Linked DNA regions of Rhinolophus ferrumequinum. The protein of the gene in region 1 interacts with the protein of each later gene in a biochemical or structural test. Links are inferred from orthologs where the notes say so. Each region holds a gene or a part of one and is shown in the gene's direction. Other genes may lie near its edges.

The links. The genes of interacting proteins can lie anywhere in the genome.
Region 2: the proteins of ARFIP2 (region 1) and ARF6 form a complex in vitro, tested with the Homo sapiens proteins (2 studies listed by BioGRID). The link is inferred for Rhinolophus ferrumequinum from reciprocal best matches to the Homo sapiens genes ARFIP2 and ARF6.
Region 3: the proteins of ARFIP2 (region 1) and ARF5 form a complex in vitro, tested with the Homo sapiens proteins (2 studies listed by BioGRID). The link is inferred for Rhinolophus ferrumequinum from reciprocal best matches to the Homo sapiens genes ARFIP2 and ARF5.

The regions. Positions count from the first base shown.
Region 1 is NC_046294.1:45,323,593-45,334,420, forward strand, and holds ARFIP2 (arfaptin-2), read left to right. Parts: upstream 1-5,916; 5' UTR 5,917-6,054; intron 6,055-6,819; 5' UTR 6,820-6,861; coding exon 6,862-6,960; intron 6,961-7,206; coding exon 7,207-7,303; coding exon of another isoform or gene 7,304-7,308; intron 7,309-7,964; coding exon of another isoform or gene 7,965-8,011; coding exon 8,012-8,130; intron 8,131-8,299; coding exon 8,300-8,521; intron 8,522-9,066; coding exon 9,067-9,224; intron 9,225-9,370; coding exon 9,371-9,545; intron 9,546-9,693; coding exon of another isoform or gene 9,694-9,819; exon of another isoform or gene 9,820-9,830; intron 9,831-9,833; coding exon of another isoform or gene 9,834-9,851; exon of another isoform or gene 9,852-9,976; intron 9,977-9,986; coding exon 9,987-10,142; 3' UTR 10,143-10,751; downstream 10,752-10,828. Other genes in the region: TIMM10B (mitochondrial import inner membrane translocase subunit Tim10 B), read right to left, coding at 5,060-5,236, 5,422-5,517, 5,718-5,756. UniProt on the Homo sapiens protein: Plays a role in constitutive metalloproteinase (MMP) secretion from the trans Golgi network. May have important functions during vesicle biogenesis at certain cargo subdomains, which could be predominantly utilized by secreted MMPs, such as MMP7 and MMP2.
Region 2 is NC_046289.1:42,165,348-42,175,282, reverse strand, and holds the start of ARF6 (ADP-ribosylation factor 6), read left to right. Parts: upstream 1-6,255; intron 6,256-6,355; 5' UTR 6,356-6,396; coding exon of another isoform or gene 6,397-6,812; 5' UTR 6,813-6,841; coding exon 6,842-7,369; 3' UTR 7,370-9,935. Other genes in the region: collagen alpha-1(I) chain, read left to right, coding at 6,063-6,255, 6,397-6,812. UniProt on the Homo sapiens protein: GTP-binding protein involved in protein trafficking that regulates endocytic recycling and cytoskeleton remodeling. GTP-bound form plays an important role in the transport of multiple palmitoylated proteins form the Golgi to the plasma membrane.
Region 3 is NC_046309.1:18,178,964-18,189,773, reverse strand, and holds ARF5 (ADP-ribosylation factor 5), read left to right. Parts: upstream 1-6,986; 5' UTR 6,987-7,114; coding exon 7,115-7,181; intron 7,182-7,696; coding exon 7,697-7,777; intron 7,778-8,105; coding exon 8,106-8,215; intron 8,216-8,676; coding exon 8,677-8,748; intron 8,749-9,284; coding exon 9,285-9,410; intron 9,411-9,520; coding exon 9,521-9,607; 3' UTR 9,608-10,008; downstream 10,009-10,810. Other genes in the region: GCC1 (GRIP and coiled-coil domain-containing protein 1), read right to left, coding at 799-2,094, 2,959-3,990.

The DNA.
Region 1 (10,828 bases):
ATAAAAGGTATGCCCCCTCTCTCTAAAGTCGCGCTCTAGACCTTTGCTCTGGAACTATTCTCTCGCCTTCATTCACCCAACAAATATTTATTGAGCATCAACTATTTTGGACACTACTTTAGGTGTTTGGTTCCATCAGTGTACAAAACAACATTGGCAAAAACACCTGATTTATGGAGCTTATATTCTAGTGGGGGACACAAATAATAAAAATGAATAAACTATATAACATGTGATAGTGCTATGGAAAAAAAAAACAGAGCAGAGATTAAATGTAGATTCACTTCTGTCTCTTTTAATTAAAAACCTTTCTCTTGTTATGTAAATAGTAGATTGAGCAGGGAGGCTATTGAAAGATGTTCATTCAACAAATATTTATCGAACACATATTATGTGCCAGGCACTGTGATAAGGATACAATGGTGAGCAATACAAACAAGGACCCTGACCTCATGAGCAACTGTTAGAAGTGCTAATGCCAAAAACAAGAAGAATTATGGGAGCCAGAGTCTGCAAAGAATTGAGGAGAGTATTTGCACTAAGTACTCAAGAATGAGTAGTTCAGTAGGTAAAGTAGTGGGAAAGCATTGCAAGGCAAGAAGCAGCAAGTGCAAAGGCCTGGAGATGGGACAATGTATGACAGGTTGAAGGAATCCAAAGGCCAGTGGGGTCAGAACAGAGGCAGAGTGAGGTGTGGTTCAGTTCAATACAGTACTAATAGCCCAGTGTCTGAGTCACTAACAAGATAAAGCTGAGGTAGGCAGGAGCTGGATCATGCAGGGCCTGGTAGGGCTTGTGTAGAATGTCAAGCTTTTATCTTATGAGTGCGAAGCTATTGCAAAGTTTTAGGCATCGGTTTGTGTTTTCTGGCTTAAGAATGGAGAACAGATTGGAGGGGTGCAAAAATGGGTATAGGGAGAAGCAGCAATTGCAATAATCCTGGTGAAAGACTATGAAGATGGAGAGGAGACAAAATCTAAAGGGGTATTTAGAGATGTAAACTGTAAAGATTTCACAATTGAGTGACGGAAGGAGTGAGGTTTCCAGCTTCTGCAATTGGATGAGTACTAGGTGTAGGAGGAAAGTTTATGAGGAAACATGTTGAATTGGGTGTGTTTTTGAGATCCCTAAATGGAGATGTCAATCAAATAGCTTGGAGGAGAGATCTGGGAGTCATCCGTAACTAAAGCTCAGAGTGGTGAAGAAACAATACTAGAAAAAACAGACTGAGAAAGAGCAGAAACTAGAGAAACTTAGATTTAAAAGTTGGAGGTGGGGAGGCCTGCAGAGGAGGCTAAGCTACAGCCAGAGGTAGTAGTAAAAGTATGAGTGGAATCGCAGCCGCCAGTGGAAGACTATCGATGATGAGGAACTATTAGTAGTTAATAGTACGAGAGGCTACTGAGAAGGGAAGTAAGCCTGGACTTGATTCAGGGATATGAAGGCCATATCCTCAGTAAGCCAGGGTGACCTCAGTTAAGAACCATTTCAACAAAATAAAGCTTCCAGAAGTCAAAACAGGTCGGGTAGAAGAATGGGATGGAGAGGGCCAAAGTATCCAACTGTTTTGAGTTTAGCTGTAAAGTAGAAAAAAATTAGGATAGCTGGGGGCAGGGGTGAGGTACAGAGTGGTTTGTTCTATCAGGAGAGTCTTTTTTTTTTAAAAAAAGATTTTATTGGGGAAGGGGAACAGGACTTTGTTGGGGAACAGTGTTTACTTCCAGGATTTTTTTCCAAGTCAAGTTGTTGTCCTTTCAATCGTAGCTGTGGAGGGCACAGTTCAGCTCCAGGTCCAGTTGCCGTTGTTAGTTGCAGGGGGCGCAGCCCACCATCCCTTGCGGGAGTCCATCCGGCAACCTTGTGGTTGAGAGCCTGTGCTCCAACCGAGCCATCAGTGGCAGCTCAGCTCAAGGTGCTGTGTTCAATCTTAGTTGCAGGGGCGGAGCCCACTGTCCCTTGTGGGACTCAAGGAGTCAAACCGGCAACCTTGTGGTTGAGAGCCCACTGGCCCATGTGGGAATTGAACCAGCAGCCTTCGGTGTTAGGAGCACGGAGCTCCAACCGCCTGAGCCACCGGGCTGGCCCAGGAGAGTCTTTAGCAAGTTTAAACACTGACGAGAATTTAGTAAAGTGGGGAAAAATCAGAGATTCTAAAGGAAGGAAGAACTAAGATTCAGAGCAAAGGAATAGGCCTTAAGAGTAATAGGCCTTAAAAGTAATCACTACAGGAGAGGAAGAGAATGATGCAGATGTGGATGCGTGACCCAAGTTTGGTGGCCAGATGTTGTGAGAATTCCCAACTGACAACTTTTACTTTTGTCTATGAAGAAAGATATGATTATCTGCAAGAAGTGAAGAGAATGGTGTGTGTGTGTGGGGGGGGTAAGCTAATAAGAGACTTAAGAATATTGGTTTGAAATACTCATTTCAGCAAGCAGGGAGACGACTAGAAAAATCCAGTAGGATTATAGGGGCTGAGGCTCTACTTGAAGCTGGTAACCATGGATTCAGTGATATAAATCTGATCTGTAGTGATGTCCTTGGGCGGCTTTTAGTTCTCCAAATGCAAGTACAAAAGTTTCATTTTATCTAAGAGTCAAAAAAAGAGAGATGAGTTAAGCAAATGCAGCTTATTCCAAGAGGATCAGTAGAATTTAAGCCAAATAGGAATCTAAAGACAGGAAGGTGTTAATGGAGAGAAGGTAGAAGCAATGACCTAACTGCTCCAGTGAAATCAAAGACAGTAGAGGAATAGTTCCATAAATAAAGTGGGAAGAATATGGTAGATGAATAAGATGCAAGTAATAGTGTTTTGGAGATACAGCAGTGTGAGGCGAAGACAATGGCTAGGACACAACCATGGGAACGGGTGGCTAAGAGAATGAAAATCATTGGCGATTGGGTCAAAAGCTAAGAGACCAAAATACTGAATGGAGTGCCCATGTAAACATTAAGTATCGACGGGTAGATACGAAGACCAAGGGCTGGCTATTTAGTGGAAAGTAGAAGAGCAGTAGTTTCTAAGGACAAGTAGAGACGGTGGTACACTTGAATAGCCTCAAAGGAATCAGACTTTGCAAAGGAGTAGGCAATTATATTCTGAAGCCACCTGGCAGGAAAACCAACCCTAGAAAGGCAAAAAGCTGATTGGAGTTACTTTTCTCAATAGGTAAGTGTGCGTAAGATATGCTTCTAGTATCTTCTGGATTCTTGCTTCCTCATCTGTTAAGTGGGGATAATACCTTTTACTTGTAGTTTTTTCATAAAGATTAACTAAGATGAAGCATGACATATACCAACATCAGAACCTGTACAAAGTGGGGGCTCAATAGATATTATTTTGTGAGGTAAACTGGTATAGCAAAAAAAGTAAAAAACAAACAAACATGGATTTTAAAGGCAGATCGGTATTTTAATACAATGTCTGCTCATAGAGAATTTCAACTTCCCGATCTGTACAGGGAGAAAACGTGTGCTTTGAGGGTGACTGTAAGAAGTTATTTTTATTATTGTGGGTGCCAATTATCTATGAGCTTCCATTTCCTCTGTAAAAAATGAAAGGACATGGTCACCTGATGGGAGATAGCGGAGGGTGAGATGGGGGATTAAGGAGAGCAGTGAAGGTGTAAATAACTGCCTTGGTGATTAAGGAGAGCAAATAGACCGGAACCCACAAGGATTGCTTATTGGTAGTAAGAGCTTGGTTGAAGTTGGAGACCTTTAATATTTAGTCGCATTTATTATACAGCTGTGTTTTTCTCTAGCAATTTGAATGGAGGAACAGAAAAGATTAAACAGCTGGAACGATACAAAAAGGACACAAGGGCAGCAAGAAAATGGGGTGATGGAATGATAGGCCATTTATACTGCTGAATGCAGAAGTAAATTCCACAAGGGGGCAATAATGAGGAAAGAATGGATAGACTGGAATTAGATAGAAATCACAGAACAGGCACAGTGGGAACAACATGGGGTAGAGGGTAGAAGAGCTGGAATTAGAAGATTATAGATAAGCACTGAGACATTAAGGTAACATTAAAGAGCCTGAAGATTTAATTTTATCCCTTTTTTTCCCCATAATCACTACCATCTACTTCTCCCTTGGGTTTCTCTTCCTCAAGTCTGACAGTATTGCAGAATTCGGCCTAAGTTTTCCCCTTTCTTACTGCCCCTGAAGACAAGCACACAGACCTTCTTTGCTTAAAGGTTTTACTGCTCATTCAGGAAGACAGGAAATAGTGAGAAAGTAACAACTTGGGGAAATGGCTGAAGTTCCAGAACACCCCTGAATTCTTACAGGTTTCATCTCTGTCCTGGAGCTACTGATTTCCCAGTAGGTAGTGCCTAAAAACCCTGTGATTTCTTGATCTACTGTCCTTAGACATCTCCTCCTTTCCCTAAATCTGGCAGAATTCCTTCCTGTAAAACACAGTCCACAAGAAAATAGCTATAAATGAATGCACACCTGGCTCACAAGTGAGCCATTAAAGTCAGATTTATGTGAAGAAGAGCTAGACAGAGCTCCCATTTTCTCTGTCATCTGGGCAGGAACCAATTTCCCGTTGCTATTACCAACCTTAAAATTGTACCCACAGACCTTGCTTTAACCAGGTGCCTGGGAATGCTAAGGTTTGCGTCCATACAAAGAAGGCACTTTCTCTGCAGACAGGGCTAAAGCCAGCAGATATTCACTAACTGACAGAATAAAAGATGATGCTAATAAAGTAGGCAAAGCTTCCCTGCCCAAAATATAAACCAAACAGAATAAAAGCAGGTTTATTAACTCTTCCTGGAGCCACAGTACCCAGCTCTCAGGCAAGCCCTCACTTTCTATATACAGGCTGGACCCAGCCCAAGCAAGGTCCCTGGAAAGGGGTTCATCTCCTGATGGGGAGAAACACATGGGTGGGGATAAGCTTCAGGAGAACACAGTCTTTGTCTCGTTCACTGCTGTGTTGCATGGCCTCAAATAGTGCATGACACATAGTAGGCACTCAGTCCACTGGCTCCTTCAATTTGAGGGGCCATCCAGTGCCTCCCTTCCTGGGGTTGGGGATGGCTAGCTGCCTGATGGCGAGGTTCCAGGCTGTTCAGGAGCAACACCTGGCACAGCTGAGGCAGCCTCGTAGTCTGCGATGCGGCGCTGTACCAGGGCAGGCATGAGCTGCACATAAGCAGCCATGAGGCGATGGTTGGAATGGATCAGCTTCCCAGCACAGCTATGCAGACAGGCTTCCTGGAAGGAAGACAGGGTGGAAACAGGGGCCAAAGGTGTCCTGTCAGATCCGTTTCCTTCCTTCCCATCTCCAACCTAGGGGCGAGGGACATGGAAAGGCCCTGGCCAAAGGCAGTGGAGGAAGGAAGGAAGCAGATTACGGTTAACTCTGAGGATGAAGAGTAATCCCCTACTCGGTCCCCCACCTCCTCGGCATCCAGGGCTCGGTGGTGCAGGCTGGGTACGCAGCGCTGGAAGCAGAGTTCCGTCATCCGATTGTAGACCAACAGGAAGTCCCGCAACTAGGAGAGAAGGGGACCAAGAACTCAGCTATAAGGGGGCCCACACCTGAATTCAAGGCCGCGCCTTGAAGTTTACCAGGACCGCGCACCACAGCCCGATGTCCCTAGCCCTCGGATCCCTAGCTTTTTGGGGTTCCCGCCATGCAGACGGCGAGGACAGTTGAATGTAGGGCTTTGAAGCCACATGAGCTGCCACTCACGTTTCTCAGCTGCTGCTGCTGCTGCTGCTGCTGCTCCATCCCGCCACAAGCTCACGTCCTGCGTCACTTCCGTTACAGCTTCTCGGTAACGCCCCGGAAGTTATCTGTCGTCCATCCCCAGGGACTGAGGGGTTGACTCAAGGATCGTCCTGCCCCCGGCTGCTAACGTCACCTCCGCCCTTATAATCTGCGACGTGGCTGGCTTCTTCTGCCCGGGAGAGGACGTCACTTCCTCCGAGTCCCTGACCTGCTGCTAGGATCGCGACGGGAGCTGGAGCCCGAGGTCCCCCCGCGGCCCGGGCCTGGCGCCCTGAGGGGAAGAGCGGCCTGTCCTCAGGTGAGAGGGCCATACTTGGGCAAGGGGAAGTTGAATGCATGAACCTGTCTTGAGGGCAAGATACCTCTGAGCCTGGGAAAGGATGAGGACACACCTGATGCCCAGGTGTATTGGGGTGGGGGGTGGGGGAAACACACCTAGGGAAACATAACCGACTTTGGAAGCCATCACCTATGTCCTGGGGAAAAGAGGCTTTCCCAGAGGCTGGGAACATAAACCAACTGAATCAACTAAGGCCTGGTGGGAAGAGCCCGAGGAAGAGAAGGTGCATGGTATGGAGAAGGGGGGAACGGTCTGAAGGAAAGGGGAAGAAACACTAAAGGGGTGTTGAAAGGCTAAGCGATGGAGAACATACTGAGCCTTGGAAAGGGGTTCATCTCCTGATGGGGAGAAACACCTGGGTGGGGGTGAGCTTCAGGAGAACACAGTCTTTGTCTGGTTCACTGCTGTGTTGCACGGCCTCAAATAGTGCATGACACATAGTAGGCACTCATTAAATGTCTGTTGAATGATCGAATGCATGAATAATCATCGGAGTCCTGGTGAAGTTGGAGAGTCATGAGAAGACACCTGAGCATGTGTAAAAATATGCACCTTGGAGGGAAGAGGTACATATACTCGCACTATCTGAGGGAAGGAGTGGTAGCCACACTCCAGAACACTCTACCCCTGGGACAACCTCTAAAACCTCAGAAACGGTAGGGGAGACATTTCTCTTCTGTGGTCCTGGCCAATTTCCAGAACTATCTGTGTTGGGCTTTGCAGGGCGCTGGGGTGGAGACATTGACTCCAGTCCCTTCCCTAGCCATGACGGACGGGATCCTAGGGAAGGCAGCTACAATGGAGATCCCCATCCATGGGAACGGCGAAGCTGGGCAGCTTCCTGAGGATGATGGGCTGGAACAGGTGCATCTGTTTGATTCTTCTCCTTATTGTTCAATTTAGGAATCCCAACTCATAAACCCTGGCCTATTCCAGTAGCCTTTCCTAACTTATCTAACTCCCTTCTTTTTACAAATTTTTGTTCTGATTCTGTGCAGACTTCCTTTGTGTGCTCTCTCTGTGATGCTTCAATCCAAGTTTGTTCTCACCCCCAAAATGCTTCAGCTGTCCCTATGTTCCTGAAGCCCCCCCCTCTTCTCTGGCCTATAGGACCTCCAGCAGGTGATGGTGTCAGGACCCAACCTCAATGAAACTAGCATTGTGTCTGGTGGCTATGGGGGCTCTGGTGATGGACTCATCCCCACAGGTATGAATGATCAGAACAGGACAGGAAGCTTGAGTGGAGAAGGGGAGAGGAATGGTTCTGGGGAGCATAGGATATGTGTAAGAAAGCTTGAGTTACCTCTGGAGATCTTGGAAACCTCTGCTAGTGTGAATCCTGTGGACTGTCTCAGCCCAAGACCAGTTCCCAGGGTTGTTCAACTGCCTCTACTTGCCATTTCCCTTGAGATGTGCCATTTCTCTGCTGCTACCACCTAAGTCAAGTTAAGAACTCTGTGCTCTGGAGCTTGGGCTGATTTGGAGATTTATGAGGCTTTTCAGAGTTTTACTTTAGACTCTAAAGTTTAGAGGGACAAGCAGCCCTGAATCTCACACGGACTAGGGTTCCACATGGGAATGTCAACTAGGTTGCCTGTTATCAGGACCCACCATCCTTGACCTCCCGCCCCACACTCATCTTATTTTCTTGTTTCCTCTGCCCCTGTACACCAGCAGCTCCCTCTTCCCTCCCCCTCCAACCCCACCACCACCTCAGAAGGAGGCCAGATGTTTTTGGGATTTGGGTCTCAGGGCACAAGGTATGAGCTGCTCCTAGTAAGTAGGAGAATCTGTCTCCAGCTTCTGCTCCCTCAGGGAAGTCATGTTCAGGTGCTGGGAAGGAAGTATGGGTGGAGCCCCAGAGGCGTCTGGTTGTATCTGAGAGAGGCTAGAGTCAGAGAACTTGGTCCTTTAGGGTCTGGCCGCCATCCATCTCACAGTGCCACTCCTGCTGGCTCCGGAGATGAGGTGGCTCGGGGCATCGCTGGAGAGAAGTTTGACATCGTCAAGAAATGGGGCATCAACACATACAAGGTGGGCTTCAAGCAGCTCTCCCTTCCCCCAAACTCCCTCTGGGTACCTTTTGGCCTTCTCCCAGATCCTAATAGTCCATCTATATTCCAGCCTGGGTATGCTGGGGTAGATACCTGTTCGGGGAGCAGGGTGCTAGGGTCTCTGACCTATTCCCCCACTTCCCAATCAGTGCACAAAGCAGCTGTTATCAGAGCGATTTGGCCGAGGCTCCCGGACTGTGGACCTGGAGCTAGAGCTGCAGATTGAGTTGCTGCGTGAGACGAAGCGCAAGTATGAGAGTGTCCTGCAGCTGGGCCGGGCACTGACAGCCCACCTCTACAGCCTGCTGCAGACCCAGCATGCACTAGGTGACGCCTTTGCTGACCTCAGCCAGAAGTCCCCAGAGCTTCAGGTGCCTCAGCCAGGCCAAAGAAAGTTGGGGGGGACTGGGCCCAGGCCCTCCCAGGCAGTCACCCCTCAGCCTCCCTCCCTCCATCCCTCCTGCAGCCCAGAGGGAGAATCCCTCCAGGGTGAGCCCAGCCCTGTCCCCAGCAGCACTCACCTGTGGAGGCAGCCTAAGGGTTTGTACGGAGGTCCAAAGTCGGAGGGGCAGGGGGCGGGGGCACACTAGGTGCCTCACAAGTAACCCTTCTCTGCATTGGCGAGAATGCCTTTGGTGCTCAGCCTAATCAGAGCTTCTCCCTTGCCTGCTGCACTGGCTTTCCTTGTTCTAGTCCTGTGAACTTATCTGAGAACCTCACCCCCACATTCCCACCCCAGGCATCCCCAGGGTGGCCCCACTAACTTTCTGGCTAAGAAAGCCTTGCTGGAGGCAGTCCTTGGTTGTTTCAGTTTTGATGACTGCTTCCTTCCTGGGGAAAAGGGGACTAAAGGGCCCTACAGCTCCAGTCAGGTAGGGACTATTTCTCAAGGCCTGTCCCTCCTTTCTACCCTCAGGAGGAATTTGGCTACAATGCAGAGACACAGAAGCTGCTGTGCAAGAATGGAGAAACACTGCTAGGGGCTGTGAACTTCTTTGTCTCTAGCATCAACACATTGGTCACCAAAACCATGGAAGACACACTCATGACTGTCAAACAGTATGAGGCTGCCAGGTGTGGGCACTGGCAGGGCCTAGGGTTTTGGGAGTTGGCTGGCTTGGGTGGAAGTTGTGATTAGGGGCATAAGAATTCAGGAAGGAAAGAAGAGAGTGTGTGGAGGACATGGGGGTGGAGATGAGCCTATATAACCCCCTCCCCAGGCTGGAATATGATGCCTACCGAACAGACTTAGAGGAGCTGAGCCTAGGCCCCCGGGATGCAGGGACGCGTGGTCGACTCGAGAGTGCCCAGGCCACTTTCCAGGCCCATCGGGACAAATACGAGAAGCTGCGAGGAGATGTGGCCATCAAGCTCAAGTTCCTGGAAGAAAACAAGGTGCCAGCCCCACCCCTTTGACCTCAGCCCATCTTTCCATCTGTAATACTGACCCTCCCCCAACCTTCCCCATCATTGGCTGGGGAAACGCAGCCTGGCTAAGGAGTGCGATCTTCCCCTAGCCCCCTCAACTCCTGGACTTTTCCAGGTCTCCCTCCCTCTGACTCCTGGCCCTTTTCTGTTGAAGAATTTGGCTGCTGCTCCCAGGATCATAACAGAAAAATCACCCCCTGAGCTGGGGTACCAGAACCCGAGGCCTTGCCAATCATGTTAGGTTTCTCCCATCAGATTGACCCTCTCCTTTGACTCCCTTGGTGGTGTTCGGCCCCCACAAGAAAAGCACCATCAGAGCAGAGTCCATGTGCCTCTGGTCTGGGCTCAGGCTCAACCCCTCAAGAAGGGCATCTGAGTCCAGGCTCAGCTGACCCTCTGGACCCCCAGATCAAGGTGATGCACAAGCAGCTGCTGCTCTTCCACAATGCTGTGTCCGCCTACTTTGCTGGGAACCAGAAACAATTGGAGCAGACCCTGCAGCAGTTCAACATCAAGCTGCGGCCTCCAGGAGCTGAGAAGCCCTCCTGGCTAGAGGAGCAGTGAGCCGCTCCCAGCCCACCCTGGCTATCAAGAAAGACATTGGGAAGGGCAGTCCCAGGTTGGGGGTGAATGGACATGGGACATCCCTGGCCACCTGCCCTCTGGCTGGGGCTCCCTTTCCCTGCCTGGGGCCTGATACCTGTTTTGCCCACACTGCTGTGGGTAGGGAGGGGCCTGCAGGCCCAGCAGCTGCTGCCCTGTCCCTTATCTTCCTGGCCACTGGGCTTCATTCCCAGATCTTTTCCTTCTACTCCACAGCCAAAGGCTATGACAAAACCACTCCCTGGCCAGTGGCATCACTCCTCAGGCCTATCCCCAGCTCCTGGGGTGTGCCCCCTGACCAATGGCAGAGCCTCACAAGGCCCTGTCAGCCAATGGCAGCTCTTCTCGGGCTCCCCTGGGCCTATGATGTTGCCTCCAATACCCTTTGTCCCTCTATGTGTGCCCATTGCAGAGAAGGGGACTGGGACCAAAGGGGTGGGAATAATGGGGAGCCCCATTTCTGGCCCTGCGTCTGAATGGGCCTCCCCTCACCTACCCACCCAGTTTAATTGTGCTTAGAGCCCTGGAAGATTGGGACCTAGCACTAGGAATAAACCTTTCATAAAAGCAGGCCCAGTGAGGTCAATTTGTGGGGGACTCTAGGAGGGTGGGCTGCGTGGAGAAAATGCTCAGTCTAATCCTACCCC
Region 2 (9,935 bases), on another chromosome or scaffold:
GAGGCGGCGAGGTGGATGCTGGTTAGTGGATTAAGACAACTAATCTCTTATGAAAACTCTATATCAGGAGATTCCAGCACTTTCGTTAACCAGCAGGAATGGGATGGGGCATATTTGTAAATTGGGAATAATGATCCGTTGCCGCCACAGCGCTATTTTTTTGAGAGGGTGGGGATATTAGTAGTTAAGATCACGCCAATTAGTTCCCTAATATTTTGCTTTGGAGAATGTCGCGTCCAGCGCAACAAAGGCAGTGAGGGTACGAGAAGAGGCGGCATTGGGTTAAGTTTTAAGAAAGAAACATATAGAGACTTAACGCAGTTAAATCTCAGAAGGCCAGGGGTCTCACAGTTCTGAAAGACTGGAGCCCAGATTTGAGCCGACTGGAGGTTTTTATTGATAAGTATACAGGGGAGTAGCAGTGTTTTTGGGAAGGTCTGTGAGACTCACTTATCACCTTATAGAAACAACCCAAACCAATTATGTTGATCTTCAAACAGCCTAAGCAGAAAGTCCTTGAGGTGAGGTATGCAACTCTTTTAAGGGACATATATCATATGTTGAAATTGTTTCACAGAGCTGAGCAGAGAGCTTAATCTTATCACTCTCAAGACTTTTCTCCCAATCAGGTGAAAGGGAAAAGTCAGAGCCAGCAGCCGCTTTTCCCAGGCAGGGGGAAGGAGAGACAAAGCCTCTTCCCAAATCTTTTTAAGGGAGCTCATCGGGGGTCTCCATGGGGTTCTGCCTGGCTTGGATCAGGGCTCTCCATGGGGTTCTGCCCCCCCCACCTCCGTGGGGAATCTTATTCATCATTGGCCGCAAACCCTCTTTTGGAGACTAAATAGAGAGAAATATACAGTCCCAGAGATGCACAGTCTCAGACTATTCTTTCCTTAAGAAAAGACGGGGGGACAGTCTGCTAGGCTGCTGTGTGACAACCAGAGAAGTGGATCCAGACTGTTCCTAAGACCTTCATTTCCAGAAAGCGTTTTTGCCCAGAGGAAGAAGTGAAAATATTTTCTCTACTTTTGGCTGCTTATCATCTAGCTCAGTCACCTAGAAATCTGATTTAAAAAAAAACAAAAAAAGAATGACACAAACTATAACAAAACAGCTTCCTGGGCTCCTCCACAGGCCACTGAACCAGCACCTCCTGGGAGGTGGCTGGCTGGGAATCTGCAATTTAACAAACTCCTGAAGAGTGTGATGGTTAGGGCTGGGAATTACTGGATTCGAGCAAACCTTGCTCTTCCCACAGTGCTTGACAAGTAGAAGGTGCATACTAAACATTGAATGACTGAAGAACTGTCTTCAAGTACTGAAGGAAGATTTAACGATTGGATAATAAGCCATGTTGACAACACTTGGAAAATGGACTGTTGCTGTGAGTGTAAATTATTACAACTTTTTAAGAAGTGTAATTGGGTTCTATCTCAGAATGTTAAATGCTCTTACTTTCCACCCAGAAATTTCACTTATAGGAATCCATCCAGAAATATATGTACGATTTTACTGAAGCATTATTTGTAAGAGGCAAAAAAATGAGCATGAGAGGAAGGTTTCATGCAGCCATTAACAGGAATGCTACTACTGAAAGATATATGGGATAACTTGCCAAGTGCAAAAGGCAAGTTGCAGACTAGTATACATAATATAATCCTAAAAGATTCACCTGCATATGTTTATCTGTGTAAAGAAAAATTCTGGAAGGATGCAACAGTAACAACAGTGATTACCTCTGAGGCAAGGGGTTAGTCAGGATGGGAGAGAGATTTTTTTTCCATTTCAGTTTATCTTTTTCCATATTGCTTGGATTTTTAAAAACCATGATCATGCATTACTTTCAATAGCTTTTAAGTCTGGTTTAGTAATGGCATCGTGGTCTCAGGTGCTGGTTAGTGAGTTAAGGTTACTGATCTGTTGTGAAACTTCTGTGTCAGAAGATTCTAGCACTTTCATTAACCAGTAGGAAAGGGATGGAACATATTTGTAAATTGGGATAATGACCCCGTTCCTGCAATAGGGGTGGAGAGGAACAATTAACGCTATTGTTAATTTTTCAAAAATTGGAGGGGCTTTATATGGAAGAGAAACTCAACTTATTCCAAGTAGCTCTGGAGGGAAGAACTCTGGTCAACTTTGAGACAGTTTTAGCTCAAAGTAAGAAAAGCAAGGGAAAGCTTTGCTGGGCATCGGGCTGAGGCTAGGATGGGGAAGATAATGTCTGCTTCGGAAGGAGTGTGAACCAGAGACCTCTTGCAGCCGTGAGACCCCAAATGTCTTTTGGGATGCAAGGTTAAGTCGTCTGTGTCAGAATGTCTGAGTTCATTCAAATCCCACTCTGCCACTAAATAGGGCTGTGTGACCTTAGGCAAAGCACTTGAGTTGCGTGTTTTTTTATATGCATGGTGGGGATAATGACGCTACCTTACAGAGTTCTTGTAAGATTAAATGAAATGGTACATGTGAAACATTTAGCACAGTTTCTTTTCAAAAACTGTTAGCATTTCTTTGCTCTCATAAAAGATTGACACTTAAAAAAATTAACGAGAATCTGAGAAATAATTCCTATTATTGAAGTAGCATTTTTATTTTTACACCTTTGAAATATTTGTGAAAGCAGCTGAATATTGGATTTTTGAATTAGTAGACTGGTAGAATTGCATATACATGCGGATGGCTTTGCTTACAAAGGAAATTTTTAAGTGTTCCGGATTCTTGTTCGGTGCTGCCCTACAGTGGCTAATCATAGGAATGGCTAAATTGGCCTTTTCATATGAGTGCCCCTGAACCAGGGTGGGGGAATCAGGCAGGCGTGGGTGTCCACTGTCGGCCCAGAGGTGAGCGAGTCAGTCCACACATGGGAAAGGAAAGGCATGTTTTTGTGTTCACCAGGGACCCAGCCAAGAGGAAACCAAGTGCACTTTAATATGGTCTTGTCTCCTGTGTAATGTACTTAGCACATTTGACTTCTAATATGCTCAAGTTCATTTCTTGTCTAAAAACTAAGAACGTTGCTGAGCCACTGTGCTATATCTGGTGTGCCCTTGGCTTTCCTCCAAGGTTGTTGGAAGAAACAGCCACATGAAAACTACTTCTGCTTTTGTCATAAAACTTGTGGAAGCTGCTATGTCCTTACTGTCCCCTAAATAAGGTGGCCTGTGAAAAACTCTTAAAATTTAGGGCCAGGAGAAAGTTTGTATCCTCTGGGGAATTGGTAGCCATGCCTCTTTTATAATAACAGGTTCTCTGTGACTTAACATACTTGCTTCTCTGCCTTCGTTGCTGAGAAACAGTGCTAGGCTTGATGTCCAATCTCAGCAATTAAATTGACCCAAATGGATATTTGCTCTCTCGTCCTTTTCTAGTCTCTCCAGCCCTGGATTCTCCTTATCCCTGAAGAAGTCCTGAGGGCAACCTACAATGCACAACTAATGCCCATTTCCATTGTGCTCAGTCTGATTTGTCCTCTTGGCAGTGCATTAGCCTTGCTTCCCCTCCGTAAGGGCAGGCAGTGGATCTATCTTCCTGGACAAGCCCAGCATGTTATATTTACAAGGGACTCAGAGAGCATACAACACTCTCCTTTTCTACGTTTGTGGAAGAGGAAGCTCAGAGTGGCGAGGTGATGTGGCTGTCCAATTTTGGGATCACACCCAGGGTGTCCTTCATCCTTGCCTCCACATCAGGTTACAAGCCCCTGCCCCCTACTTCCCAGCTTGTCAGGGGAAGGAGCTGTGTCTCCAGAGGCCTCCTTGGCTTGGATAGCATCAGCCTTCCTGCAGGTCTGTCTCATAGACTGGGAGGGCAGAGGCCAGAGCCTGACTTCTGGGCACTGTCTCTGAGGCCTAATTTACCCCCCTGCTCCAGCTGGACGCCCAGAGCTGCACCCCAAGTCAGCAGCAGGACCCAAGTCTCAGAATGGCATAGAAGTCCTTGCCCTCTGCTGAGGCCATGCCCCAGGGAATGTGACCTCAGGCCAGTCTTTTGCCCAGTGGCCGTTTGGACCAGTGCTATTCCAAGTGTGGTCCCTGGACCCATGCTATTGGTTGCCTGTCCATATGAAGATGGGTACAGGAAGTACTTACTGAGAGCTTGAGAGTAAGCTTTTATAGCGATTTGACATGGTCACATCGTTAGAGCAGCATTTCATTTTTTTTTTACTAATTCATTTTTATTGCATTTTACAAAAAGCATTAGTCCCCCACAGATTGGAAGTTAAAAAAAATAATGACACTCTGTTCCTTGTTCGTGGATGCTTTGGGAAGTACTGCTCCTGATCCTCTTTTCCAGCGGGCACTGGCCTTGGGGTGCTCTCCAAGGGCTGTGGTCCTGTGAAGTTCTCCTTTGGGGCAGGTGGGGGCGACAGAGACATAGGTAATATTTCCATCCCCAAGCAAGCGTCCATTTGACCATTCTGGATGCTAGGACACAGGAGAAAGGCAGGGTTTGGTCTTCCTGTTTGCCTCAGCTGAGAGCAAAATCACCAGGGCAAACGTCCAGGAGGACCATCCACAAGTAGATGGAAGGAATGGGAGGCTCCTTGCTAGGGGTCTCTTCCTAGAGAAGTATAGCTCTGTGGCTTGGGCTCTATAGCACAGGACTCTGAATCTAGCTGCCTCCCTATCAGTCAGTTGCTGTGAGGCCTTGGGAAAGCCATTTAGACTCTTGGAAAGCCCAGTTTACTCAAGTGTAAAGCGACCATATTAACAGAGAAAGTATATTAAATCATTGTCTGAATATTACTGTTTCCCCGAAAATAAGATCTAGCCCGACAATCAGCTCTAATGCATCTTTTGGAGCGAAAATTAATGTAAGACCCAGTCATGGTATTATATTATATAGACCCGGTCTTATAAGTAAAATAAGACTGGGTCTTATATTAATTTTTGCTCCAAAAGACTCATTAGAGCTAATTGTCCGGTTAGGTCTTATTTTCCGGGAAACGTGGTAATAACTGCCGGAAATAAACACAGTAAGTTTATTTCAGGCATGATCTACCATTATCAAATTTTATTAAATTATGTTAAATACTTAAATTATAAGTATTTTCTTAAATAAAAAGTATGTTACCATATGCCATTTTACCATCTTCCTTTAAAAAAATTTCGTTTTTCCTCCCCTTGGTTCATTTATTTTAAGCTTTCACCTCATTTTAAGCCTCTTTATCACTATGATATAAAAAGGTTTCCTAAAGTCTTCCACAAATATTATTTAACCCTCAAATGGGGTGGAGAGAGCAAAGCCAGTATTACACTGTTTACACATAACAAACTTCGCAAGGTTAAATGCCTAGATCCAGGCCACAGAAGTAGTCTCTACCTGATTCTAAATCGTATGCTAAGATTATATCGTCCATGCCTCTTAAAGAATGGGTGGGTGGATAAGCAGCTACTAATACACTAAAAGGAGGAGATATTTACATACGAAAAGTTATCACCTTCTAAAAAGTTTAAAGTGCGGCAAGGTACAGGAACTCTTGATAATACTATAATTTTTAAGAAACGTGGGCTGGTCCTGACGAGATGTATAAAGGCTCAAATACTCAAAGGGCTTCAGAGCAAACCCAAGCCGGTAAAAGCACCGCATTGACTGGCAGATTCCATACGAAACAGTTGTCTCCCACGTGTCTTGCAGGAAACCCACAGAGCACGAGGAATAAAGAAAGCCAAGGAGAGGTGGGGGGAAGGTAAAAGCAGCGGATAGGGCTTCCCTGGGAGCCCGAGTGAGCGCGAAGGTTGGGACGGGATGGAGGGAATTCTCAGCGGATCTGGCAGGCAGCGAGTTCTGAGAAGACACCTGGCAGCAGCATGAGGGAGGCGTTCGGCGTGCGAGCGGGCTGCCCGCGGGCCGCGCCCTGGGCAGCTCCCTGGGGTTTTTGCTTCTCCGGTTCGAGAGGTGTTGGAGGAGAAAGCGCGGAAGACAGCAAAAAAGGGAGGAGACGCTAGAATAGCCACAAGCGGGCAAGAGTCCGAGTCCGCGCGAGACTCGGGCCGGGGGCTGGCCGCACCTGCAGGCCCTCCCGAGCCGCCGTAGCCCCGCCCCCTCTGCTCGTGGCGCCAATGACGCTTGGCGCGCGGGCCGCTCTCCTTACAGAGGTCGCTCTTGTCCGAACGGTCGGCCTGTGCTGCGCCTGCGTGCTCGGGAGGGGAAGTGAGGCGGTTTCCTCGGCGCCTTTTCCGGTGGCGGCGGCGGCAGAGCTGGGAGGAGGCGGTGGAGGCCGGAGGGAGCCCGCGCTCGGGGCGGCGGCTGGAGGTAACCTCCCGGGCCGAGCTGGAAAGGCAGGCCACCTGGACCACCGCTCCCCTCTGGAGCTCCGGCTGTAATTCCCTTTTCCCTCTCTGTGTCTCTGCAGGCAGCGCACCGAGTTCCCGCGAGGATCAATGACCTGACGAGGCGCCGGAGCCTCGCTGCCTCGGGTGGCCTGGGTCGGTGGTGAGCCCGGCGTTCGCGGACCGGCGGGCGGGCCACAGGGTCGCAGTCTCCCGCGGCTGAGTGAGGAGAAGGCGGAGGAGCGGGAATCGCAGCGGCGCTCGCGCGGCGCTCGCGGGGGGAAGGGCAGTTCCGGGCCGGGCCGCGCCTCGCCTCAGCAGGGCGGCGGCTCTCCCGGCGTAGACTCAGGGCCCCGGCGGCAGCGGCGACTGGAGAAATCAAGTTGTGTGGTCGGTGATGCCCGAGTGAGCGGTGGGCCCGGGCCTCTGTCCCGAGGAGGCAACTCCCACGCAGGCCTCACGGGCGCCCTCGCGGCTGGGAGGCTTCGTTTCGGTTTCGCGGCGGCGGCGTTGTTGGCAGAGGGGACTTGGGACACCTGAATGCCCCCGGCCCCGGCTCCTCCGACGCGATGGGGAAGGTGCTATCCAAGATCTTCGGGAACAAGGAAATGCGGATCCTCATGTTGGGCCTGGACGCGGCCGGCAAGACAACAATCCTGTACAAGTTGAAGCTGGGCCAGTCAGTGACCACCATCCCCACCGTGGGTTTCAACGTGGAGACGGTGACTTATAAAAACGTCAAGTTCAACGTGTGGGATGTGGGCGGCCAGGACAAGATCCGGCCGCTCTGGCGGCATTACTACACCGGGACCCAGGGTCTGATCTTCGTGGTGGACTGCGCCGACCGCGACCGCATCGACGAGGCCCGCCAGGAGCTGCACCGCATTATCAATGACCGGGAGATGAGGGACGCCATAATCCTCATCTTCGCCAACAAGCAGGACCTGCCTGATGCCATGAAACCCCACGAGATCCAGGAGAAACTGGGCCTGACCCGGATTCGGGACAGGAACTGGTATGTGCAGCCCTCCTGTGCCACCTCAGGGGATGGACTCTATGAGGGGCTCACATGGTTAACCTCTAACTACAAATCTTAATGAGTGTTCTCCACCCATCCCCCGGAAGGAGAGAAATCAAAAACCCATTCATAGGATTATCTCCACCATCACCTCTTTCAATTGCCACTTTCTCTTCTTTTGAATTTGAACTCTGGAGTTGCTCTTCTACAGTTTGGGGGGGATTAGGGATTTCCTTTTTGTTTCTTTTTTCTTTTTTTTTTTGCTTTGCGGTAGGATGCTCTGATCTGATATTTGACATGAACACAAAGTGCTAGATGCTCTTGTTGACTTCCAGCAAATGGGATGGGGGAAATATAGCAGTTCTTGGTAAAGTCCTTTATAATAATGGTATGATTTTTTTATTTTGACAGAATCTTTCCTTCCAATGTATGCTTTTTTCCTTTTTGCCCAGTTTCCTTATCACTTGCTGTAGATGGCTTATTTTGCATTCATGCAGACTATGTTGCAAGTCTGTTTCATCTAGTAAACTGAAAATTATTGCTTAATCAAACTGCCGTTTGTCTTTTATATTTAAGGCCTTTCCCCCCTCCCTTATGAGTTACAACTTTAACTTAGTAATTTCAAATGTGACCTTTTATATCTAAGACCAGTATAGAAAACTCAGCCCACAGTGGCAAGTGAGTAATATTGTAATATGTTCCAGTTGCACATCAGTATGTTAAACAGGTAATATAAGAAGTTCTTTGAAATGTCAGCTATTAAATTCTGAAACATACATCATGCATGAGTAGGGATAAAACTCAAGTTCCCCATTACATAGCTAACTTAACGCTGCATAAAAATATAAAATTGTAACCCGTCTAAGGACACAGATTTTTGTCACTGCAAAGTTAGCAATTTTGCTGTGTTTTCCCTCTTTTCTAACTTTAAAAAGACTTTCCAGAAAATGGAGCAATAATGGTGTATCCACCCACACACAGTCAAAATATTTGTAGATATTTTAAGTGACTTGGGCAAAACTGGAATATATACTTTTACCATGTTTCAATGTCTAAGACCAATAGTTTTTAAATTACTAGAATGTTTACTTTGTTCATTAATGAAACATTTAACAATTCAAATTTTATATGCACCTTTTACCTAGTTGGAAATACACACATTCCTGTTTTCACATTACAGCAACTGATTGAAGATAAAGTCTTTCTTTTTATAGTTTAGTGATCCACACCTCCATGAATTAGAACACTGGAAGAGTTTTATAAAAGTATTTAATTCTGTTTGATTGTAGAATTAACTCATGCAAATAGTAAGTCAGATATCCTGTTGGTTCAGTAATATACTATCTTCTTTAAGGAAGGAAATGTGATGAATGAATGTGTGTAGACTTAAGGAATGACAAAGGGGACATTGGATGAAGAAAAAGAACTTACAGATGACAATGAATGTAAAATTATTTTTCTTCAAGGATAAGCAGTGTGCTCACTGATACCAGATCCGAACAAGATTACTTGCTGAACTGGTTAGGACTGGTAACTAGATTATTGAGACCACTATGATAAATGATACTTTGAACCAAATGTTAATGCCTGATAGAAAATTGTGAAGCAGCATCTGGTTCTTATGTAGCCTTAAGGATTAATTTTAGAGATCCTCAAGGAATTAAACTTAGGGAATTTCAGAAATGTAAAGGCAGTATACAGGAAAAGATGTGGGTTTTATGAGGGTGTCTGACAACTAAAATTGAGCGGGATATCATGGTATATAGTTGGACAGTATTGGTCCATCATGCTTTGGCCATATCGTATAATGGAGCTTTTACCAAAGATGTATGGGAAACATAAGGTGATAAAAAAAATTAACTATTCAAAGTAAAATTCGACATTTTACTTAAAGCAGATGAGCAAAGGTGCTATGACATAGGCTCCTGATGGTGTAGAGAGATTTTTGAATTAAAAATGTAACTAAAGTATAAAGATCTCTGTTTCACTTTAGTAGATGTATCTCTAGAAATGAAGTTGACAGACACATCTTAAGAACATTTTAGTTGCTTTTAAAATTCCCATAGTTCCATTATAAATTTCTTAGTGTTTTACATTTTAAGGTACATACATGGGTAATACAAATATTATCAATGCTATAACATCCTGAAACAAGACAAGCACAAAGGTATAAATGCCTAAACTGGAGGAAACTTGAAACCCTCGTGTTAATTCTTAAATGTAGTATTTCTAACTTGTGACAGATTGATAGGCAGCCTTTTTTTGTGTCTTAATAACTGGGGGCATAATTAAAATTTTATACATCAAGTGATTGCTATTGAATGTTGCAGGTGAGATGTGGTTATTAGTTTATTCGAAATGTCTAACTGAAAGGGGGAATGGGGGGGAAACATTGAAATTTGGAAAACCCTAAAACTTGGTAAGAAATTGTAATTTTCACTTAACGTTCTCTTCAAGGATATAAAAGGCTGATAATTGATGTAGTTAAATTGAACCATAGCCATTGATGATCATGGGGCAGGTAATTACAGCCTGCTGGAAAAGTTAGAGTCTAAGAATTTGAAACATGAGATCCTGAAGTTTTTGTTTAATTGCATCAATTTCTGTATTTATGTGAATTTATAAACTGCAGTAAGTTTTGAATG
Region 3 (10,810 bases), on another chromosome or scaffold:
GAAGTTCCACACTGAAGATAGCAAAGTCATTCCCGCACAATCTCAGGCCAACCTCAGGCGGGCAGGTTAAGGCAGGGACAAGCAGGAAGGGTCTATGGTAACTCTATCCAGACGAAAAGCAGGTCACTCAGGAAATCCCTAAGATCGAACTGGTGCTCAGGGCTCTCTCTACAATGGTCACAAGTGGAGCATTTTGTCCAGACTGGTTAAGTCGTGCCCAGCCCTAACTAAACCAAGCTTCCCAGCTCCAGGATGAACTCCCTATTCCTTGGCCCTTTGGACTAGTGGGCAAGCTGTCACTATTTCAAACTTCCTGGTCCCTCTTCAGCCTGGATGTGTATCCCCAGAGAATTGGGGCAGCAGTGGACCAGACTCAGATTGTGCTGATGGAGAAAACAGCTGGTCCTTGTGTGTGTTTAGAAATTAACTGAACTCCCTTTGGAGTCACATTTACTCCTAGCTCTGCACTAGGAGCATAATATTAAAACAGAGAAGTCTTATTTTTAAAGATTTTCACCACTTCCCCAACTTTTGCACCTCTCAATCCCAACCTCTTCCTGCCTCTCCCCCTCACACACACACCACCAGAAGATGTTGTCCCAACTCTTCCAGTGTCTCTAGGGCCCAAGGGGTAAAGCGGAGTTAATGGCATTTGGCAGAAAATCCCACCCTACGTTGAAGACTCCTCCCAGTTCAACACAGTGAAGAAAGAAAAGATTAAGAGAAGGGGCAGTAGAAACCAGAACCTGTCCCTTCCCACAGAAGAGGCACAGAAATTTCCAGGCAGTGAAAACGGCATCATCTCTTGCCAGAAGGCCACCAGCTCCCACTGGGGGGGAGCCGCATGATCACTTGTTTCTCCTCGGGACTGAAATGCAAGATAGTCAGGATGGCTGTGAGTGTCTGCTGGCGGCCCAGGCTGTCGGGCAAGGTCAGGAAGCGGTAGATGATGTTTTTGAGGTACTCGAGGTTGGCTCCCTCCCGGCTCTGGTCCCTGAAGTTCTTTTCAATGTGGCTCTGCAGGACCCCGACCTCCTCACGATGCCGCTCGCCCTCCTCCAGCAGCCGCTCCTGCAGCTGACGGACCTCGACCTCCAGCCTGTGTTTCTGTTTCCTCAGCAACGTGATCTCCACCTCCTTGCGGGCCAACTGCTCAGCGTACAGGAAGAAAGTAGGCTCGTTGGCCGCAGCTAGTTGCAGGGCTTGGGTCAGGCTCTCCGAGGAAGTGACCTCGGCCGGGTCCCCAGGACCTCCGCCACCCACAGGGCTTCTGCGTCCCGGCAGCCCGGAGGACAAGGCCACGGAGCGCAGTTGCTCCAGCTCCAGGTCCTTCTCGGCCAGCACGGCCAGCGCCCGGTCGCGCTGCCTGTGCAGTTCCTCCTCCAGTTTCAGCGTGCGGTCCCTGAATTCCAGCTGGCTCCGCTCCAGCTCCTGCCGGTGGTGATGCTGTAGCCGGGCCAGCTCCTGCTTCCAGTCCTCGGCCTCCTGCTGGTGTTGGCGCTCAAGCTCCTCGCAGGACAGACGCAGGGAAATATACTTCTCCTTGAGCTCTGCAAGCTGTTCCTGGGCTTCCTCCAGCTCCTTGGCCAGGTTGCCGTCTTTGCTGTTCTTGCTCTTGAGGACGACCTGGGCCCTCACCTTGTACCTCTCAAACTCTTCCTTCAGCTGTTTCAGCTCCTGTTGGTAGTAGAGCACGGTAGCCTTCTCCCCGTCAGCGGCCTCAGAGCTGGGCATTATCTCCAGGTCGCAGAGCTTCTCCACATCCAAGGTCACCTGGCTTTTCCTGGTCGCCACCTGCAGTAGCCTCTTCAGCTTCTCCATCTTGTCCTTCAGGACATTGACGTCCAGACTGGACTCCTCTCCATGGCTGTCTAGAGGGGACCGGCTGGAGGCTGCGAGAGCCAGCGTCTTGTTCTCCAGGTCCAGCTGCATGATGCGCTCCTTCAGCTTCTGGATGGCCAGCTGGTCCTTCTGCTTGGCTTTCTCATATGTGCCCAGCAGTTCCGACACCTCAGATATTTGGTTCTCCAGGGCTGCCACCCTCTGCTCTTCCAGCTGAGATTGCTGACGTCGTTGATCCTCTGCGAGGGCTGCCTGTAAAACAAGGAAACAGATGGAAATGCATCCAGAAACGCCACAAAGCGCTATGGCAAACTTTGAGAGCACCAGAGAGGACAGCCAAAGAGTCACAGAATGGGGATGGCCTGGCAAGAACGGGAACTGGGGATTTTTTGGTTGATCTGGGAGCTAACAAAAGTTCCTGTAACTTGCTTGCGTTCTGCTCACAGACACATGTTATACCAAACAATTAAGAACCTCTGCATACCTGCTCCTATTCTGGTTTCGTACTTCCATTGTCTCCTATCATACACCAAACTCACGTATAAAGAGTGCTTTCTTCATTTATCATGTGTTTCCCCAAATCTTATTATGGAATCATCTCTTCCAATATTCCTGGAAGATCAAAACTGAGTTGGACCTCTCTCCACACTGAATGGAGGCACTATAAAAATAGAATACCTTTCCAGAGTTGGCAAAATCTTGGCTGAAAGCCGTTACAAAAGGTCATTTCCTCTGAGAAAACTCCCTTTTCCCCCTTCAGCCATCCTTCCTATAGGCATATACCACTACCTACACATAGGCATACAGCTCCAGTCAGACACACGACCTTTTCACTGCATGTCTGCCACAGTACTGCTTCGCAGAGCACAGCGGGTAAGATGCCAATGCTAGATCTGTCTGGCTCCAACCCAGCCTACACTTAGAAACTCTACATCCTGTTGGAAACATGCTCTGTGGATACTGTCAACACCACATAGAACAGAATTTCCAACTCACCAATAAAACATTTTGCATCAAAAATTGACAGTGCAGCCACTGAGATCTATCAAAGGCGGAAAAACAAATATTTCCCATTTCAGGTTTAAATGACTTTTTGAAGGAGATGGAGATAATTACCTTCCTCATTTCCTGCTGCAACTGAGCCTGGAAATGGCTCTTAAGGCAGGCAGCTTCTTCCTGCAGCTGCTGCAGCCGGGGGTCTGGCTGATTCTTCTCATCCTGGAGAGCCTGCAGCTGACCTTTGAGCTCCTCCACCTCACGGGTCAGCTGTCGGGTCTGCAGTTCAAACCCTTCCATCTGACCAGCTGCGTATGCCCGCCCTGCCAGGGCTTCTCGGGTCTCTTCCAACCGAAGCTCCAAGTCTTGGCGCTGGGTCCTCTCCTCCTGCAGCAGTTTCTGAAGCTCACGCAGCATCAAGGCATGGTCACTCTGCTCCTGGGCCCGATCGTGCTGCTGTGTGATAAGTCGGGCTTTGGTTTCCGCTATCTGCTCCTGCAGCCCCTTCAATTCTCCCTCCAGACGGCCCCTCTCTTCCTCTGCCTTTTTACTGGCATCCTCTAAGTCCTGTTTCATCTTCTTCTTGTCAGCCAGGTAAGAAGCTTCCATGCGGGACTTCTCCTGGGTGACTGTAGCCAAAGCGCTGGTCAAAGTAGCCAACTGAGTCTTCAGCTGGTGCAATCGTTTGTCCACCTCCCCACCTGCAGACGGTCCATCCCCACTGCTACTGCTAACACCACTCTCCGACCCGCTGGCCTCTTCCGACTTTGGAGGTGGTGGTCCACGGGCCAGTCGGTCATCTTCTACCCCAAACTCACCCTTGGTGCTAGTGAGACTGGCGACAGTATCCAAGCTAGTGGCGGTCCCAGTGCTATCCTCGCTGTGAGTGGAGCATCGGTCATCCACGTTGTCAGGACAGGTGAGGCCTGGAGGCGGGCCATCTGCCAGGCCCACATCCGCCTCTTGGGATACTGACAGCACCTTGATGCTGGCCTCTAGCGCCTCTTTCTCTTTCAGTAAGCTTTTATAGGCGCGAACCACATCCTTGAGACGTGCCTGGTACTGGAAGAGCTGCTTCTTCTGCGTCTCAATGGTCTCCAGCAGGTCCTTTTTGCTGGGGCCACCCCCGAAATTCATTCCAAACTTCTCCATGAGGATTCAGAACGGGTGGTTCCACGTCAGCGTTGGGGCAGCCCGGGAGACGGTCGCGGGGACGCTGGCGGGCGTTGTGGTCCCCGCGGCCGCACACCCGCTCCTCCCAGTTGTCCGAGACCGACGCGGGGAGGCGGGGCAGCGGGCAGAAGCGCCACCGGGTCCGGGGTACGGAAGGCGGGGGCGGTTCCCACCTAGAGGCGGGGTGACGCGGGCAAGAGGGGAGCACACAGCCAGGGCGCCCCCGCCCTGTCCCAGAAGCTGCCCCGCGCTCCCGCCCGCGCCGGCCACAGCAGCCCCTGCGGGACCTCGGCCCACTGTCCGCCAGGGGTTTAAGCGGAGCGCAGCCCCTTCGCGACTTCCGAACTACAGCGGCCCGACAAGGGCGCTTCCGGGTCCGCTGGAAGTGACGACAGCAAGACGCCGCAGGCTCCGCCCCAGTGGCCAGAGGAGCGCGGGGCCACCCCAGCCGGGGAGTGCTCGGCCGCGGCCTGTGGGGAACCTGGCGAGGCTTTCTCTCCCCGGGAAGAGCAGCACAAGCCAAGCTAAGGACGCGAGTGATGTTGATTTCGTGAGGTTCACCCGAGCTTGCCTTCAGGCTACGATCAGCGAGGGACAGGGGGCGACGTCGCACTGAGTCCTTACTGAACAGCTCGCGACGTGTCTCCACTATTTGGGAGCTCAGTACCTTTGTCCCTAAAGAGCAACAATTAAGACTCTCATTCAAACCACGAACACTGCAACCCTTGCTAGTACAGTGTTTGGCACCTGGAAGGCGTATAGTATAATAATTATTAGCACCCTTCCTGAGTTCTGCTGAGTTAATGCAACAAATGTTTGTAAAGGGCATCCGTATGGCCAGGACGTCGGTCTTTAGTGCCAACTATATTCCAGGAGCTTTGCAAGAGTTTTGGTATGTAGTCATTACAATAATTCTGCTCAGTGGGTATTGTCAGCACTGTTTTACAGATATGGAAACATGAAGCACAGAGACGTAAGTAACATGCCCAAGGTCGCACAGCTAAGTTTAGGGATGCTATCCAGATCAATCCAACTCTCAACATACCAAATGCTGTGCCAGGTGATCACTATGATGAGACAAGGTCCTGCCCTCACGGAGTTCCCATCTAGTGAAGAACCAGGCATGCAAACACAAGTCCTGCCATCGTACCGGTATGCATAAGTATATTCAAAGTGATGTGGAGGAAGTCCTGTCTAGGGGAGGCAGAGAAGGCTCTCAGAGAAAATACTTTGGGATGTGAAGGATGAGTAGTGACTACCCATCTAACTAGAGATCAGGGAAACAAGCATTCCAGGCAGAGGGAAAAGATTACGAGGACTCCTGTGGCATCAGGGAGGCTGGCTCACCTGGAAAGCATTGAGAAGCATCTCGAGGCAGTAGTTTAGGGTATGTGAAGGAGGTGGCAACAGACGGGGCTGGCCTAGGAGGTAGGGATCCAAATTAAGGCATTAGATTTTATCTTTGGTGATAAGAAGACACTAAAGGATTTTAATCACAAGAGTGGTGTCATCAAGACTTGTATGCCAGGGTGGCAATAGCAAGGGGCAGGAGAACTGTGAGGAGACTGTTGCAGTCATGGAGAAGAGATGGTACTGAAATATGGCGGTGACAACAGTGATAGAAAGAAAGAGGCTAATAAAAGAGCTGAAGATGTAGAACTGACCTGACTTGTTCATCGCTAGTTGTGTTATTATATTGGGACTCTTTTAAATGTATTCTTCGACCTTGTAAAAGTCATCCTAGGAATGCAAGTGTGATTGAAGAGTAAAGTCATGCACTCATACCTGATGCCCAAAGTCTGTTCTCTTTACAGACTTGCAGGTCTGGATGGGGCAGGCCCTGGAGCTCTGTTCAGACCCAGTTTCTTAGTGGCCCAGGAAACATCCAGCTGTTTTATACAAAACATTCAGATACAGTATCTCATCATTTTAATCTTTACCATAACCTCATGAGATAGGACAAATATCAGTCTCTTTTTATAGATAAGAAAATGACAGCTTGAGAGGATTGTTGAAGGCAAGCCTTCAAAAAAAGGCAGAACTGAGATTTGAACGGAGGCCTGGAACAATGGCATACAGTAGGCATTCAATATTTGTTGACTGAGTGAATGAAGGTTCTCTGCTTCCCAGCTCACCTCACCATGTCCAGTCCATAAGCAACTTGGCTCCAGAACAGGCAAAACACCTGTCCACGCTCCACTGAGCAACCTACCAGTCCAGTTCAACCTAACAAGCATTTGTTAAGCATAAGCCTGGCATGATCCAGTTTTTGCCATAGAAGATACTTAAATGAATTCCAATCTGGCTCTTTCCCCTCCAACGCTAAGATGAATGGGGAAATTACTGGAGAAGCTCTTCGGGCCTAAGGAGGCAACCACATCCTCACATCCTGGATAGGTGTGCATTAATAATGCAGGCTGCCAGGTCTGTGGCAAAGAGAGGAAGGACTTCAGAAAGGCTGTCTGGGTCCAGACTGAAAAGCTTTGCTTCCTTGCACACCCGGGCGAGTCTACGGTTCCTGAACCACCTACTGTGCTCCAAGCCCCTCCCTCACTGGGAGCTGCGGGGGCAAAAGGGAGGTCTTAAGACGACTGCACGGAGCTTACGCACCTCTAAGAGGGTGGTGCACACAGTCGAGGCTGCCAGTTAGAAAGAACTAAACCGGAGACCAGAGTGAGCTGGACGCAACAAACCAAAGCCCTGCGGCGGGCCACGGAACATGGGGGTGGGGGCCGCTGCGGAGCACTGAAGGCTTTCCTCCGCCCCCCTCTGACTGCCGGTTCAACAGCCACAGATGTGCCAGGCGTGCTAGAAACGGGGAGACCCTGGCCCTTTCCCTCTTTAAAACCGGCGCGGGACCCAGCCAGGCTGCGGAGATTCGCTCAGCTTCGGCTTCTCCCGGAGCCCGAGGCGCGGGGCGGGGCGGGGGGCGGAGCTAGGAGCGGAGCGCGATGGGGGCGGGCCCGCCGTGACGTAGGGCGGGCCGCGACGCGCGGAGGCGGTGGCGGCACCTCCCACTGCTGCTGCGCCCCATCCCCCCGCGGCCGGCCGGTTCCAGCCTGCACCCGGTGTCCGTGTCCGTGCCCCCTCCCCGGGCCCCGCCATGGGCCTCACCGTGTCCGCGCTCTTTTCGCGGATCTTCGGGAAGAAGCAGATGCGGATCCTTATGGGTGAGGCAGATCAAGCGCGCGGCCCGGACGGGAGCGCCGGCCCCCGCGCAGCCCTCCCGCCCCCGCGTCCCTCCAGGCCAGCTCACCCCGCTTTCTGACTCTGAGTCACCCACCTTCTAAACCCCTGGGGCCACTGCTCTCGGGCGGGTCACAGTCTGCAGCGCCGCTCCCGGGGCCTGAAACCGGGAGCTGCGGGCCTGGGTGGGGTGACGCTCCCTCCGCCCCAGCCCGGATGGTAAGAAGGGAGGATTCCGCCCTTGGAGGCCACTTTTAAAAGGAGCGCGGTCCTCCTCCTGTACCCCTTACACCCCCAGTCCTCGCCCGCTTCAGGGGCAGCAGTTGGCGCTCATCACCCGGACTGCCCTTAAGGCCCGGAAGGTAGATAACAGCGCGCACCTGGAAGCTCTCGGGCTCTCCGCCCCTGTCACCGTCAGCTGTCCTGGCCTCTCCCCTTCCCTGGTCTCTAGGGGGCTCCCTCGCTCCCATCTCCATCCCTATGCCCCTCTTCTTTGCAGTTGGCTTGGATGCAGCTGGCAAGACCACAATCCTGTACAAATTGAAGTTGGGGGAGATTGTCACCACCATCCCCACCATAGGTGAGTCAGAGGAGGTGAGATTGGGAGGAGCTGGAGCGTGGCGGCCAGCTCAGGGTCTCCTCCTCATTCTGCGTCTCCGTGCTGGGACCTGACACCAGATACAGCTACCTGAGAAGTGGGTCACATTATCTTTACCTGCTGGATGGTGTGAGGAGGGGTGGATGTGACCTAGCCCCGCCCTGCCAGTTGACTGCCAGTCTTCTGGACTTCTCTTCCCTTAGACCTTGATCATTGCCTTCTGATTTGTGTCCCTGCTGAATGCACTGTAGTTTAGTGAGTTCCTTCCAATCACGACTTTTTCCTCATATTTTTTTCCAATTATCTTCAGGCTTCAATGTGGAAACAGTGGAATACAAGAACATCTGTTTCACAGTCTGGGACGTGGGAGGCCAGGACAAGATTCGACCTCTGTGGCGGCACTACTTCCAGAACACTCAGGTGGGGGGCGAGGGTGTCTCCCCAACCCCAGGGGAGGAGGTGATAGCATTAGGAAAATTGTTGGCCTAGGCTGGGCCCCTGGGCCAGGAAAAAGCCTTACCCCTCCCTAACCCCCCTTTTGTAAGGTAAGCCTCTACTCATCCTTCAGAACTGGCCTTCGTCTTCTGAGACTCAGCCACCTTTGGCATCTTCTGAGAAGCAGGGTTCTGGGTCCAGGCTGAGTTAGCTCTCATCACATGTCTCCCTGTTCCCATGCATGTCTTCTATCTAGACTGCTTGTCTGAGGGCAGAAGCTGTATGTATCCTTTGCAGGGTGTCACCACTTTGTGCCAGGATGTCTGCAGAGCCTTAGTGGAAGTTTACTAGATGAGAAGGGTTTAGACACAATTAAAGAGAGAAAGCCAGACTCGGGTATGTCCCAGGTGGGAGTGATTGCTCCTCCTTCCTTCCTTCCCACCCAGGGCCTCATCTTCGTGGTGGACAGTAATGACCGAGAGCGGGTCCAGGAATCTGCTGATGAACTCCAGAAAATGGTGAGCACCCAGGGCCCTGGGAACTGAGCCCTTAGCTTGGAAACAGAGGTCGCTGTGCTGGTGTGAATGTCAGGAAATGCCTCATGGGCCTTGAATGTACAGTGCTCTTGGTGGACACAGGTACATGGAGAATCTCACCCTGTTTTGAGTTTGGGTCAGGTAAAAAGTATAGGATTGACTTTTTCCTTGAATTCTCATGTCTTCACATCTGAGTCTGAGAAGTTGGGGAGAGGGAAGTTATATGCGGTGGAGATAAACATCATCGTACCTTCTTGTTTTTCCATTGGGAAATTTTGTCATTTTGACTAGAACAAGTACTAGAACAAATTAGAAAAAGGTCCTTTCTGGACTTAACGCCAAAATGGTCTCCAGCTGACTTATAACTATGTCCTGTGTTCAGCGGGCGACTACACGATGTTATATTTTTCCCACAAATATGCTAGAAGGTGGGAAAAGGGGGCTCCCCTACACAGTGGGAAAGAGGGAGTCTGGAGACCCCAAAGGACCCCAGATTCTACTCCCTTGGCCTCTCTCAGCTGCAGGAGGACGAGCTGCGGGATGCGGTGCTGCTGGTGTTTGCCAACAAGCAGGACATGCCCAACGCCATGCCAGTGAGCGAGCTGACCGACAAGCTGGGCCTGCAGCACTTGCGAAGCCGTACGGTGAGGGTCTCGCCTCTCCCAAGGGAGCCACAGGCTGGGGCAGGAAGTAAAGGCACCCCCCTCCCTTTTTGTTCCCTGCTACTGACCTCTTTCTTTCTTTCGCCCCACAGTGGTACGTCCAGGCCACCTGTGCCACCCAAGGCACAGGCCTGTATGATGGGCTGGACTGGCTGTCCCATGAGCTGTCAAAGCGCTAAGCAAGCAGGGGCCAGCCCCTGCTGCCCGGAAGCTCCCGCGTGCATCCCCGGGATGCCCAGACTCCCGGACTCCTCAGGCAGTGCTCCTCCCTCCTGCTCCTCCTCCCACAGACACAGGTCTCTGCTCCTGCCCCTCCTGCCTGCATGTTCTCTCTGTCGCTGGAGCCTGGAGCCTTGCTCTCCGGGCACGGAGGGGTCTACTCTCCTGCCTGCTGGGACCTGTGGAAGGGACTTCCAGGGCCGGGGCCCCTTCTTCCAGAGGAGGAGCAGGGATCTGGGTTCACTTTTGTTTTTTCCATTTTGGGTGTACCCTTGGGCTAAGTGGGGAGGGAAAGTGAGGGCTCCAGGTGGTGCTATGATGTGGCACTGGATATTGAGTAATAAATTTGCTGTGGTTTGTACACGGTGTTGTCTGTAGCCTAGAAATGGGGCGCTGGGTTATTGGGTGCAAAGAGACAATATGGGGGAGGCTCAAAGCAGCCTGCAGGGCCAACCCCCCTCTCCCCAAGCATACACACACACATTGCTACCTTCGTCTAGCTTAGCTTCTCCCTCCTTATCCTTGAGGCTGCAAATATTTCAGGGGTTCCAGTGTAGGGAATCCCATTCCTTCCCCAATTTCAAGGGGCCTTTGCTGAGAGTAACCTTCCTTTGCATGAGGATCTACCTTCGTGCTTCTATAAACTACTTAACTCCCATTCGTATTCACCTCCTAAGTAGCCGTGGTCCTTAGTGATTACGATGCACATTAAAATTTGAGGGTGAGAGAATATTCATTAAAAAGAAGGTTCCTGAAGCACACTTGAGAAAAAGTGACTCATCAGGACTGGTCTGAGGCCCAAGAATATGCATCTTTAAAATCAGCCAGGTGGTTCTGTCGAGTAGCCTTATTTTATAAAACCGGGGATTACAGTCCCTCATTGTGTATCACTGGGACTTCCTACCTGGGAAGACCCTGCCACAGGGACTAGGAACCAGTCTGGGCAATTCTCCGAGCCTGGTTCACTGCCCATTTCCCTTTGCATCCCAGCAAAGCTTGAAACCCACCATCAACACCATTATTTCTTTCTGCCTTTCTCCCTTTTTTCATGGCAGTTTCTCCAGGTTGTGGGCTGGTTTTCTCCATGAGCTTTGTAGGAAGTGAGTCCAGAGGCTAACGGCCAGCAGACTGGGACCTGGGCTGGTATCCTGAGAGGCAGCTCT